3 linked regions of the Diceros bicornis minor genome follow. The main gene of each other region encodes a partner of the protein of the gene in region 3 in a complex. Links are inferred from orthologs where the notes say so. Each region holds a gene or a part of one and is shown on either strand. Other genes may lie near its edges. The genes, in order: CHRM2, ADRA2A and GNAO1.

Region 1 (2,807 bases), on a different chromosome or scaffold from region 3:
AAAAAAATAAGCATTTATTATGTTGCATTTTTCCAAATAAAATCATAACAAAAGAATAATATATGCTTAACACTCTGGAGACCATTTCCACATCCTTTTTTGATTTTCTTCCTTCACTTCCTCAGTGTATGTCTATTTCTTTCTGTTTAAGTGTGCATGTTAACTTGTAATTGTGGCATTTCATCCTCATATGGACACACGGGAAATAAAAAAAATGAAAAAAATGGAGCGAGGTTATTAATCTTATTGTGCAGAGATAAAATTGTAGATTCAAAAGCCCTTCTTCAAGAGCGTACGAGAAAGCGTAGACCGTTCCTTAAATCCACAAGTCCAACACATCTCTTTCACGGCCTCATTGCTCCTAAACTGACAGGGTTTATAAGGTGCAAGTTTCTCAAACTGGAGCATAGGCACCGTAAGAGTGTCACTGTTGGGCTCCTTAATTGCACATTCCATAATAAGACTATAAAGTGCAATGGCAGAGATTTTAAAACTAGGAGCTCTTTTATCCCTTTTCTTCTTCCCAAGCTCCCCTTGATCACCTTCCATCTTTACAAGGATGTTTTACCTTGTAGCGCCTATGTTCTTGTAATGACACATGAGAAGGTGTTTAAAGGTCTTCTTGAAGGTGGCATTACAAAGTGCATAACACGCGGGGTTGATAGTGCTGTTGATGTAACAGAGCCAATAACCAATTGTCCACACTGTGTTGGGGATGCAAGGTGCACAGAAGGTGTTAATGAGCACCATGACATTGTATGGGGCCCAAGTGATGATGAAAGCCAACAGAATAGCCAAGATCGTCCTGGTCACTTTCTTTTCCCGGGAAGGAGGAGGCTTCCTTTTTGCAGGCTGCTTAGTCATTTTCACAATCTTTCGAGCTACGATGTTTTGTTTTTCATCTCCATTTTGACCTGAAGAACCAACTAGCTCCACGGTGGTATTAGTTGGGGTACATGAGTCACCTTTTTGGGTCTTGGTGACAATTTTGATGCATGTTTGCTTAGAGTTCTCATCTTTGGAATGGCCCAAGGAAGTGGAAACTGTGTTTTCATCCTGGGTTATTTCATCATCTCTCATATTAGAGGCGACAGCACTGACTGAGGTGGAATCATTGGAGCTCTCTTTCTCCTCCCCCTGGACACAGTTTTCAGTCACAGCATCTCTGGGGGCTTTGCCATTCTGGATTTTGTTGTGCTCCAGGGCATCATCACTGCCGGGCATGTTGTTGTTGTTTGGCTTCACTATCCTTCCTTGTATCAGACTTGGAGAAACTGGATGTTGGTTGGCCACAGGCTCCTTCTTGTCTTTCTTTATCCTGCTCTTGCTGGCTCGGGATATATGCCAGTATAACACAGTCATGATGATCACAGGCAAATAGAAGGCTGCAATGGCTGTACCAAAAGTGACAGCAGCGTTGGAAAAAAACTGAATGTAGCATTCCCCATCCTCCACAGTTCTCACCCCTACAATGAACTGCCAGAAGAGAATGGCCGGAGCCCAGAGGATGAAGGAGAGGACCCAGGCAGCTGCAATCATCATACCTGCCATTTTCGTGGTCCGCTTGACTGGGTAGGTGAGCGGTTTCGTGACACAGAAGTACCTGTCAAAGCTGATGATGAGCAGATTCATCACTGAGGCATTGCTGACCACATAGTCCAGGGCTAGCCAAAGGTCACACACCACAGGTCCCAAAGGCCAGTAGCCAATCACAGTGTAGAGGGTATACAAGTTCATGGAGAAAACACCAATGATGAGGTCAGCACAGGCCAAGCTGAACAAAAAGTAATTGTTGACGGTCTGGAGGTGGCGGTTGACTTTAATGGAGACCATGACCAGGATGTTCCCAATAATGGTCACCAAACTGAGGGATCCAGCCACAAGGACAATAAACACCACTTCAAATGTCTTATAAGGACTGGTCAGAGCCAGGCCATTGTTAGAGGAGTTTGTTGAGTTATTCATTTTGTGTTCTCTAATCGGGAGCCAAGAAGACAAATACACATTTAAACCTGCAAGGAAATAGAAGAAAATTAACAAATATAATAGAAACATTGCTTTAAAATGTATCAGATTTTTTCCTTTTGAACTACATTTTTTCTCCAAAATCTTCCTTCCTTCCCCTACATGTTTACTGTGCCTACCTGCCCCAGTTCTCCACATAAAAGGCAAAAGCTTCAAATGGAGGATTCAAAAGATCCTTTCAGGCCAGCAATATATTTGAAGTCTGATAACATTCTGAATGTGTCCATACCTAGACATGAATATATCTGTCTGTCTGTCTATCTATCTATCTATCTATCTATCTATCTATCTATCTGTCATCAATCAGTTAAACTGAGTATAATATTGGTGAATTGAACTAAATAAACCAAAATTATAAAGGAAATTTTCTGAGCATCAAGAGGTTCTGGTACAGACATAAAAATTAATAAACCAATGGGAAGATAAAATTATGAAAGAAAATATAAAACTTATTATATTGAATGTGTGACTTTTATAGTCAATAGCACCTTTCCACCTGGTAGCTCTAAGTGTTTTCCATAATGATACTGAAAATGATAATAATAAAGATAAGATAATAATACTTTATTAGCCAATACACTCCCCCCAATGACTATTATTTTTCTCTGATCTCTGTTTTATGCTTGTAGTAAGTGTCACATGGTTAGCACTTCCAATATTCCATATCCTGCAAAAGAAGTTACTTATTAAATACATATTGATGTGATTATGTAAATTTTATGAATGTTTTATTTTTCAAATCACTGCCAAGTCTATTATGTTACTCCTCTTCCTGCCAAATC
Region 2 (3,747 bases), on a different chromosome or scaffold from region 3:
CTGTAGGCAAAGGACTACAGGGGCGGGAGAAGGCACCCGGCGCCGGCGGGGCTTCCCAGCCGTGACGAGGAGCGGCCAGCAGGTGTCAGTGCGCCCTCGCTCTGTCACTGCGCGCGGCCTCCGCCTCCAGGACCCCTCCCCACCGCGGTCTAAGGGGGCGCGGTCCAGACCCCGGGCCACTCGCGTCTCGCAGACAGCTCTGTGGCTGGGACGATACGTAGGCCACCTCTCCCCTAAGCGGGTCTCTGAAATCTGGCCGGGCCCGCTCCCCCGGGGGCGGTTCCCATTCCGCCCTAGGGGGTTCCATCCAAACCTGTGCCTTCCTCTCTCACCACGACCCACTTCACCCCGGCCGCGAGGAGCACTTGCGGACGAGGGCGGGCCGGCCCAGGGCGGGGCTGTTCCGGATACGACCCGTACCGGTGGCTGCTTCTCCTGATTCGGGCCAGGGCTTTCCGACACCCTTTCCTCCCAGGACTCAGCTCGATGGGGGCACTCTCGGGTGCCCACTGCTTTCTGCTGGCCCGTCCCGGAGCTGCTCGGCCAATTCCCAGCAGGGACCGCTCCCCATTCCCCGGGCACGCTCTTTAAACCTCTCGCTCAAGGTACCCGCCTCTCCAAAGGGCTCGTCGCGCCAAGGGGGCAGCGCTCCCCTGGGTCTGGCGCGGGGCGCGGGCGCTAGACCGGTGGAGGGGAGGCGCAAGGGGCGGGGGAGGGTCTGTTTCCCACGTGGGGGCTGACGCCCGCTGCTCGGCAACGCCGGCTTGATCCTGGGGCTATAAAACCAGTTCACGGTGAGCACGGCGGAGCAGCAGCGGCTCTGGCTTCGGTGCAGACACCCAGCAGCCGGCGCGCTGCCGCCCGGCCACCCCCAGCACCTTCTCCCCCTAGCCCTGCGCTCCTGCCCCAACTCACGCTGCCCTCGGACCCCGGCTGTCCGGTCGCGCGCAGTGCCCGCAGCTCGCCGGGCCGACGCCCAGGAGACTCCCTGCTTCGGCCGCGGCTCCTGGAGGGCCGATCGCCCACCCGGCCCGGCCCTCCTGAGGACGGGGGCGCCTTCATGCGGCCCCCACCCCCCTCACCCCGCCGCCGCCGCCGCCCCCGAGCTCCGCGCGCTGCGCCCCAGCCCCAGCAGGGCACGCAACTTTGGAAGTCCCGCGGCGCTCTGAGAGGTGGCAGAGTCCGCACCCCGGCCCCAGCCCGGGCTCCGCCGGCCCCGCCGCGTCTGGGGGAAGCGAGAGAGTCGGTAATCGCTTCGGGGATGTAAGGAGACAGACATAGGACCCCAAGCCCGCATCAGCACCCCTCGGCTGCCTCCCGGGGTGGGGGCGGGCCCCGCACACGGTAAGACCTCTTGCTTTCGCTCAGGCTCGAGAGTCGAGAGAGATATATATATTTAATATCCCGTCATCCTTTCAAGTCATCAGGCCACCGATGACTTTTGTTCTCCCTTCTTGAAGAATAAATCTCTTTCCCCATCTGCTCGATCTACTCTCTCCCGTCGCTCAGAAATAAAACTTGGCTGTATTTAGGAGCTGGGAGCGAGAAGGCGCCCACCCCGAGCGCCCGAAGCGTGGGTCGGGCGCGGTTCGCTGGAGCCGGGCCCATGGGCCGCTAGCGGTCCCCCAGCTCGGGCCCGACCTTCCTGCGGCCCCCTCCCCATGTGAGCCTTGGCGGGGCGAGCGGGGCGCGGGAGGAAGAGGAAGACCCACGGCGCTGGGCCGGAAGGCAGCTGGCAGCAGGCCCAGGCCAGCGGGCACCCGCGTTCATGTTCCGCCAGGAGCAGCCGCTGGCCGAGGGCAGCTTCGCGCCCATGGGCTCCCTGCAGCCGGACGCGGGCAACGCGAGCTGGAACGGGACCGAGGCGCCGGGGGGCGGCGCCCGGGCCACCCCCTACTCCTTGCAGGTGACGCTGACGCTGGTATGCCTGGCCGGCCTGCTCATGCTGCTCACCGTGTTCGGCAACGTGCTCGTCATCATCGCCGTGTTCACAAGCCGCGCGCTCAAGGCGCCCCAGAACCTCTTCCTCGTGTCTCTGGCCTCGGCCGACATCCTGGTGGCCACGCTCGTCATCCCTTTCTCGTTGGCCAACGAGGTCATGGGCTACTGGTACTTTGGCAAGGTGTGGTGTGAGATCTACCTGGCCCTCGATGTGCTCTTCTGCACATCGTCCATCGTGCACCTGTGCGCCATCAGCCTGGATCGCTACTGGTCCATCACGCAGGCCATCGAGTACAACCTGAAGCGCACGCCACGCCGCATCAAGGCCATCATCATCACCGTGTGGGTCATCTCGGCCGTCATCTCCTTCCCGCCGCTCATCTCCATCGAGAAGAAGGGCGGCGGCAGCGGCCAGCAGCCGGCCGAGCCGCACTGCAAGATCAACGACCAGAAGTGGTATGTCATCTCGTCGTGCATCGGCTCCTTCTTCGCGCCCTGCCTCATCATGATCCTGGTCTACGTGCGCATCTACCAGATCGCCAAGCGCCGCACCCGCGTGCCGCCCAGCCGGCGGGGCCCGGATGCGGGCGCCGCGCCGCCGGGGGGCGCCGAGCGCAGGCCCAACGGCCTGGGTCCGGAGCGCGGCATGGGCCCCGTGGGCGCCGAGGTCGAGCCGCTGCCCGCCCAGCTTAACGGTGCCCCCGGGGAGCCCGCGCCGGCAGGGCCGCGCGACACCGACGCGCTGGACCTGGAGGAGAGCTCGTCGTCTGAGCACGCCGAGCGGCCCCCCGGGCCTCGCAGGTCCGAGCGCGGCCCCCGGGCCAAGGGCAAAGCCCGGGTGACCCAGGTGAAGCCCGGGGACAGCCTGCCGCGGCGCGGGCCGGGGGCGCCGGCGGCCGGTCCCGGGGAGGAGCGCGGCGGGGGCGCCAAGGCGTCGCGCTGGCGCGGGCGGCAGAACCGCGAGAAGCGCTTCACGTTCGTGCTGGCCGTGGTCATCGGCGTGTTCGTGGTGTGCTGGTTCCCCTTCTTCTTCACCTACACGCTCACGGCCGTCGGCTGCTCCGTGCCGCGCACGCTCTTCAAGTTCTTCTTCTGGTTCGGCTACTGCAACAGCTCGCTGAACCCGGTCATCTACACCATCTTCAACCACGACTTCCGCCGCGCCTTCAAGAAGATCCTCTGCCGCGGGGACAGGAAGCGGATCGTGTGAGCGCGGAGCCCGCGCCGCGCGAACAGACTCGTGCAGATCGCAGGCAGCTGGGATCCAGGGGCGCGTCTACGCAGGCCTAGTACTCTGAAACCAGGGTCCTGCCTACTCTGCGTTTCCTGGCCCGGGAGGTTGCTCTGCGGCTTCCGGGCATCTGCTCTTCCCTACCAGGGAAAAGTACTGGCTGGGAGGGCCACACGCCCCCCAACTGTTGTTAGGGCTGCTTCTGACTGGGAGCCATCTCTCTAGGTTCTTGGGCCGCCCCTAATCAGTGTTGTTTCCTAAAGATATTTTCACGTCCCAGTCCAACTCTGACAGCAGTTCAGAGCAAGCGCTGGACCCCAGAGCGTACGGCTCACAAAGGGTTAATGGACGGGGGTTACCCAGGCCCCGCTGATTGCTGTCTCCCTCCCACCAACTCTATTTTTAAACAAACGCTCAGGGCCGTCCTGCCCCCCCTCCCATCCCCCACTGTAAATATACACTATTTTTGATAGTGCACACAGGAGGGTCCCCAGTGTCGCTTTGCTTTTGATGTCAGAATCCTGGCTGTTGGAGATGCCCTGGAGGCAGACACGTTGTGTCTGGTTCAGGCTAAG
Region 3 (3,747 bases):
TTCCAGGCAGATGCAACATGCACCTTGTTGCAAAGAGCAATTCCCCAGGCCCCGCCTCCCCGTCCATTTGGGTTGCACAAGCTCCAGAGAAGCCCCAGGCCAAATTACCCGTGGCTCAGAGGGGTGCGGCGAGCCGAGGGGGCCTCTGCAAAGAAAGCCCCGGGGAGCTCTCGAACAAAAATAAGAGCACGTCAAGCAGACGGGGGAAATTGTCTCCGAGTCGCTACTCCCTACCATCATGGCGCCGCCTAGAACCCGCTTGTCATGCCTGTTACACATGCAAGATTTTTTGCATCTTGTTCTGAAAGCAAAAGCATGCTTCGTCTCCCACCCACCTTTCCACGAAAGGGGTTTTTATTTTCCATTGTTTTCCTACGGGATGCAATTACTTCGCCTATGCTGTCAAGTTGAAAAATAATCATTTTTGTTTACTGCACAGCAACCTCTAATTAGGAGCTGTGTGTGCACGAAGGTGTCACAGCAAAGCGACGTGGAATCCTCGCTAAACGGTCTTAACGAACTCCTCCGTCCCGAACCGACAGGCCAACGGAAGCAGCAGGGCCAGGAGGCCCTGCGGGCGCGCACCCCTTCCCCGCCGGCCACCCCCTCCCCCAGCAAAGCTGCCTGAGGGCTCACCAGGAACTGCCGAGCGGAGTGCATGGGGCCAGAAGCGAGCCCGAGAGTGGGAAGGAGGGGCGAGGCTCCTTATCGAGAAAGTGTGGAAGGGAAGAAATATCCCATTTTGTTTTAATTTTCAACCATCACTCAAATCCACCCCCAGTTAATTAGGAGGGGAAACTGATATCTAAGGCAGAAGGGGGCGGCGGCAAGCGGGGCCTGAAATCCGCATTGGGGGTAGATTACATGGAACACGGCCTATGCAGAGTGTAAATAAATACATTGATAAAGGCCACAGAGTGAAAGAAAACTGCCAGTGTCAGGAGAGCGAACGCTGGGAAGGGTGGGGGAGGAAGGGCGGCCAGCAAGGGGCGGGCATTCAGCCTCACAGCCAGTGTCCCCCTTCCACCTCTGCCTTGGATACAGCTGTGCCAGTCACATAAGCTGGGAAACCCCCACCCCCTTCCCTACCACACGCCCCCTCCCCTAACCCTCGTCCTCTTTTTGGGGGGAGAGGGGGCAGAAACCACAGTCTCCAATTCAGCACCAAATCCATGAACAGCAGACACTTGATCATCCACCCCAGTCTAGGGCTGGGTCCCCTCCGTGTTTTAGCCAAGTTCAAAATCACTGCCCCAGGAGGAGAGCAGGGCGAAGTGAGATTATGGATGTGGGGTGGGGGGTGGAGGGAGGAGGAGAGAGAAATAGAGACAGAATGAAACAGAGACACAGAGACAGAAATGCAGGCATCAATACACACGAAACACCCCACGAGCAAGAGTAATGATCATAATCATGCCAATAGTGTGATGTTCTGATCAATATGGCGGACACTGTCATTCATACAACTACAGGCGCTCCCCTTCCCTCCCCCCCCCAAAAAACACCCACCCGGGGAGTTGGGGTGGAGGACTCAGAACCAACGTTGGGCGTGGGGGAGGGGAGTCAAACCCAGGTCTGTGTGTGTGTGTGTGTGCGTGTGTGTGTGTGTGCGTGTGTGCACGAATTAAAAACTGGGCCCGGAGAGCAATGTAGAGTGAGCAAGGTAACACAAATGATAAAAAATTATTCTTAATAAAAGTACAAATCCCAATGGCACAGGGACTTACTTCATCTGCTTCACAATGGTGCTTTTTCCTGATTCTCCAGCCCCTGTTGGGACAGACAGGGGGGAAAAACTGGTGAGTGTCAGCTTAGGGGAACGGGGTGGGCAGGGGGATAAGGCATGCGAGGGGGTGGGCGATCCTGGGCACATGGTGGTGCCAACTCGGGACCAGGTCTTCCCGGGCCCGAGTGGGGTGGGGGAGCTGGCGGAGGGGGTGCGGAGGGGCCGGGGTCTGGGGATAGGGGTGGCAGCCCCGGTCCTTACCCAGCAGGAGTAATTTCACGTCTTTGGCGGCGCTGATGCCATCCTCTTTGAGGTTTTTCTCAATCGCCTTGCTCCGCTCGAGGGCGGCTCTCTCCTCTGCGCTCAGAGTACATCCCATGGTGGCCCCTTCCCTGCCACAGCCCGCACGACTCGGCTGGCACTGCTCCCCGGCTCGGCGCGCCCCCCACCCCCCCAGAGAGCAGAGCCTGGGCTCAAAGGGGAAAAAAATCACGATATCCTCCCCTCGGCAGAAAACAAAAATGTCGGGAAACCAGAACCCCCCAAAAAGACAGCCGCTAACAAGATTCCAGCAGCGGAGAGTCGCGGCAGCTGGCGCGGCTCTGGGGGTGTCGAGGCGAGGGTGGCCGGGGTCTGGGGATCCGGAGCCCAGGGAGGAGGCGCCCGCGGTCCGTGGAGGCGCGGGCTGCAGGCACTGAGGCTTGTGCACGACCCAAACTAAATAAAATACTAGTCGAGGCAGGAGCCGCAGCCCGAGCCGGCGGAGGGTGGGGTGGGGGGCAGGGTGGGTCCTTCTGCCGCTGCTGCCGGAGGAGGAGGCGGCGGCGGCGGCGGCGCGGGGTGTGGAGGGAGCGAGTGAGGGGGTGCTGCTAGTGCATGTGCATCGCCGGTCCTGAGCCGTCGGTGCGTCCGCGGCGCCTTCGCCGACCCCCGCGCGCTGGGCAGGGCTGGGCAGGGGGCCGGGCCGGGGGCAGGTCTCTAGCGGGAGGCGGCGTCGCTGTCTCCCAGAGCTCGCATCGCTCAGTGGAGCCTACCGGAGAGAGAGGGAGGGCGCGAGGGAGCCGCGGGCAGCCGGGAGCTCGAGGGGGAGAGAGAGAGAGGCTGGGAGGGAGGGGAGAAGAAAATGAAGGGAGAGCGCGCGCGCCACAGCCCGGGCGGGGGAGGGGGCGAGTGCGCCAGCGGCTCTGCGCACCCCGCACCGCGAGCCGCCCGCTGACGTCAGCAGGGCCGCGCGCCGGGCCCCCGGGACGGGGAGGGGCGGGGGGCGCAGGGGGCGCGCGCGCCCGGGCCGCGTCAGCCGGCGGCGGCGCGCGCTCGGCGCGGCCTCCCCTCCTCCAGCGCTCCCCGGGCCCGCAGCTCCCCCGAGTGGGCGCGCGCGGGGCCTGGTGGGGGCGGGGCCTGGGGCCGGGCGCGCGCCGGGACGCCCCTCCCCGCCCCCGCCCCCGCCCCCGCCCCGCGCGCCCGCTGCGCCGGCCTCCTTGTCAATGGGAGCGCGGGGCCGCGCCGCCCGCGCGGCGGTCAGGCGGGTCCCCCGGCTCGCGCCCCGCGCCACTTTTCTCGCTCTCCGGCTCCCTCTCCATCTTGGCTCCAGCAGCTCGCCTTCTTGATTGTGCTCCTGCTGCTGGGGCCGTAGAGCCGAGGCCGAGCGTCCTCAGCAAACGCGAGGAGACAGTGGGTCAGAGTAAACCTGCGTTCCCGATAATTCGCCTCTGGGGCATGGGGGCAGATTCGGATTTTTCGCTTCCTGCGTCCCACATTTATTGAGCACCTAGTATGTGAGAGAGGAGGCTGTGAGCAGGGGAACACAGCAGGATGAGACAAAGCCAGGGCCTGTTCTCTGGGAGCCTCTGCCTGCCTCCCTTTGCCATCGCGAACTCTGCTCCAGGATTCCCGGCCATAGGTATCAGCGCAGGAGACAGTTCCCACCATGGGAAGCTTTTGGAGGGGAGGACAGGTTTTCATGCGAGTGAGCTTCTAGCAAATGCTTACTCCCTCAATACAGAGTTGAAACGCTTTTGCTC

What was found.
Region 1: the proteins of GNAO1 (region 3) and CHRM2 are in contact, whole or in part, in a cryo-EM structure (PDB 7T8X), measured with the Homo sapiens proteins. The link is inferred for Diceros bicornis minor from reciprocal best matches to the Homo sapiens genes GNAO1 and CHRM2. Residues at the interface, in NP_066268.1 of Homo sapiens: Lys24, Ile28, Ala31, Lys32, Leu195, Tyr320, Asp337, Ala338, Thr340, Asp341, Ile343, Ala345, Asn347, Leu348, Gly350, Cys351, Gly352, Leu353, Tyr354; in NP_000730.1 of Homo sapiens: Asn58, Arg121, Cys124, Val125, Pro128, Leu129, Thr130, Pro132, Val133, Lys134, Thr136, Ile209, Ser213, Lys214, Ser215, Arg216, Ile217, Arg381, Lys384, Val385, Thr388, Ile389, Cys443.
Region 2: the proteins of GNAO1 (region 3) and ADRA2A are in contact, whole or in part, in a cryo-EM structure (PDB 7W6P), measured with the Homo sapiens proteins. The link is inferred for Diceros bicornis minor from reciprocal best matches to the Homo sapiens genes GNAO1 and ADRA2A. Residues at the interface, in NP_066268.1 of Homo sapiens: Ile28, Lys32, Lys193, Asn194, Leu195, Asp218, Phe336, Thr340, Asp341, Ile343, Ile344, Ala345, Asn347, Leu348, Gly350, Cys351, Gly352, Leu353, Tyr354; in NP_000672.3 of Homo sapiens: Arg77, Arg146, Ser149, Ile150, Ala153, Ile154, Asn157, Leu158, Arg160, Pro162, Ile234, Ala238, Arg241, Arg383, Arg386, Phe387, Val390, Leu391, Phe444, Asn445, His446.

The regions. Positions count from the first base shown.
Region 1 is NC_080742.1:85,269,077-85,271,883, reverse strand, and holds CHRM2 (muscarinic acetylcholine receptor M2), read right to left. Parts: upstream 1,966-2,807; coding exon 565-1,965; downstream 1-564. UniProt on the Homo sapiens protein: The muscarinic acetylcholine receptor mediates various cellular responses, including inhibition of adenylate cyclase, breakdown of phosphoinositides and modulation of potassium channels through the action of G proteins.
Region 2 is NC_080745.1:74,812,914-74,816,660, forward strand, and holds the start of ADRA2A (alpha-2A adrenergic receptor), read left to right. Parts: upstream 1-810; 5' UTR 811-1,768; coding exon 1,769-3,151; 3' UTR 3,152-3,747. UniProt on the Homo sapiens protein: Alpha-2 adrenergic receptors mediate the catecholamine-induced inhibition of adenylate cyclase through the action of G proteins.
Region 3 is NC_080771.1:9,768,846-9,772,592, reverse strand, and holds the start of GNAO1 (guanine nucleotide-binding protein G(o) subunit alpha), read right to left. Parts: upstream 2,750-3,747; 5' UTR 2,106-2,749; coding exon 1,988-2,105; intron 1,771-1,987; coding exon 1,728-1,770; intron 1-1,727. UniProt on the Homo sapiens protein: Guanine nucleotide-binding proteins (G proteins) function as transducers downstream of G protein-coupled receptors (GPCRs) in numerous signaling cascades.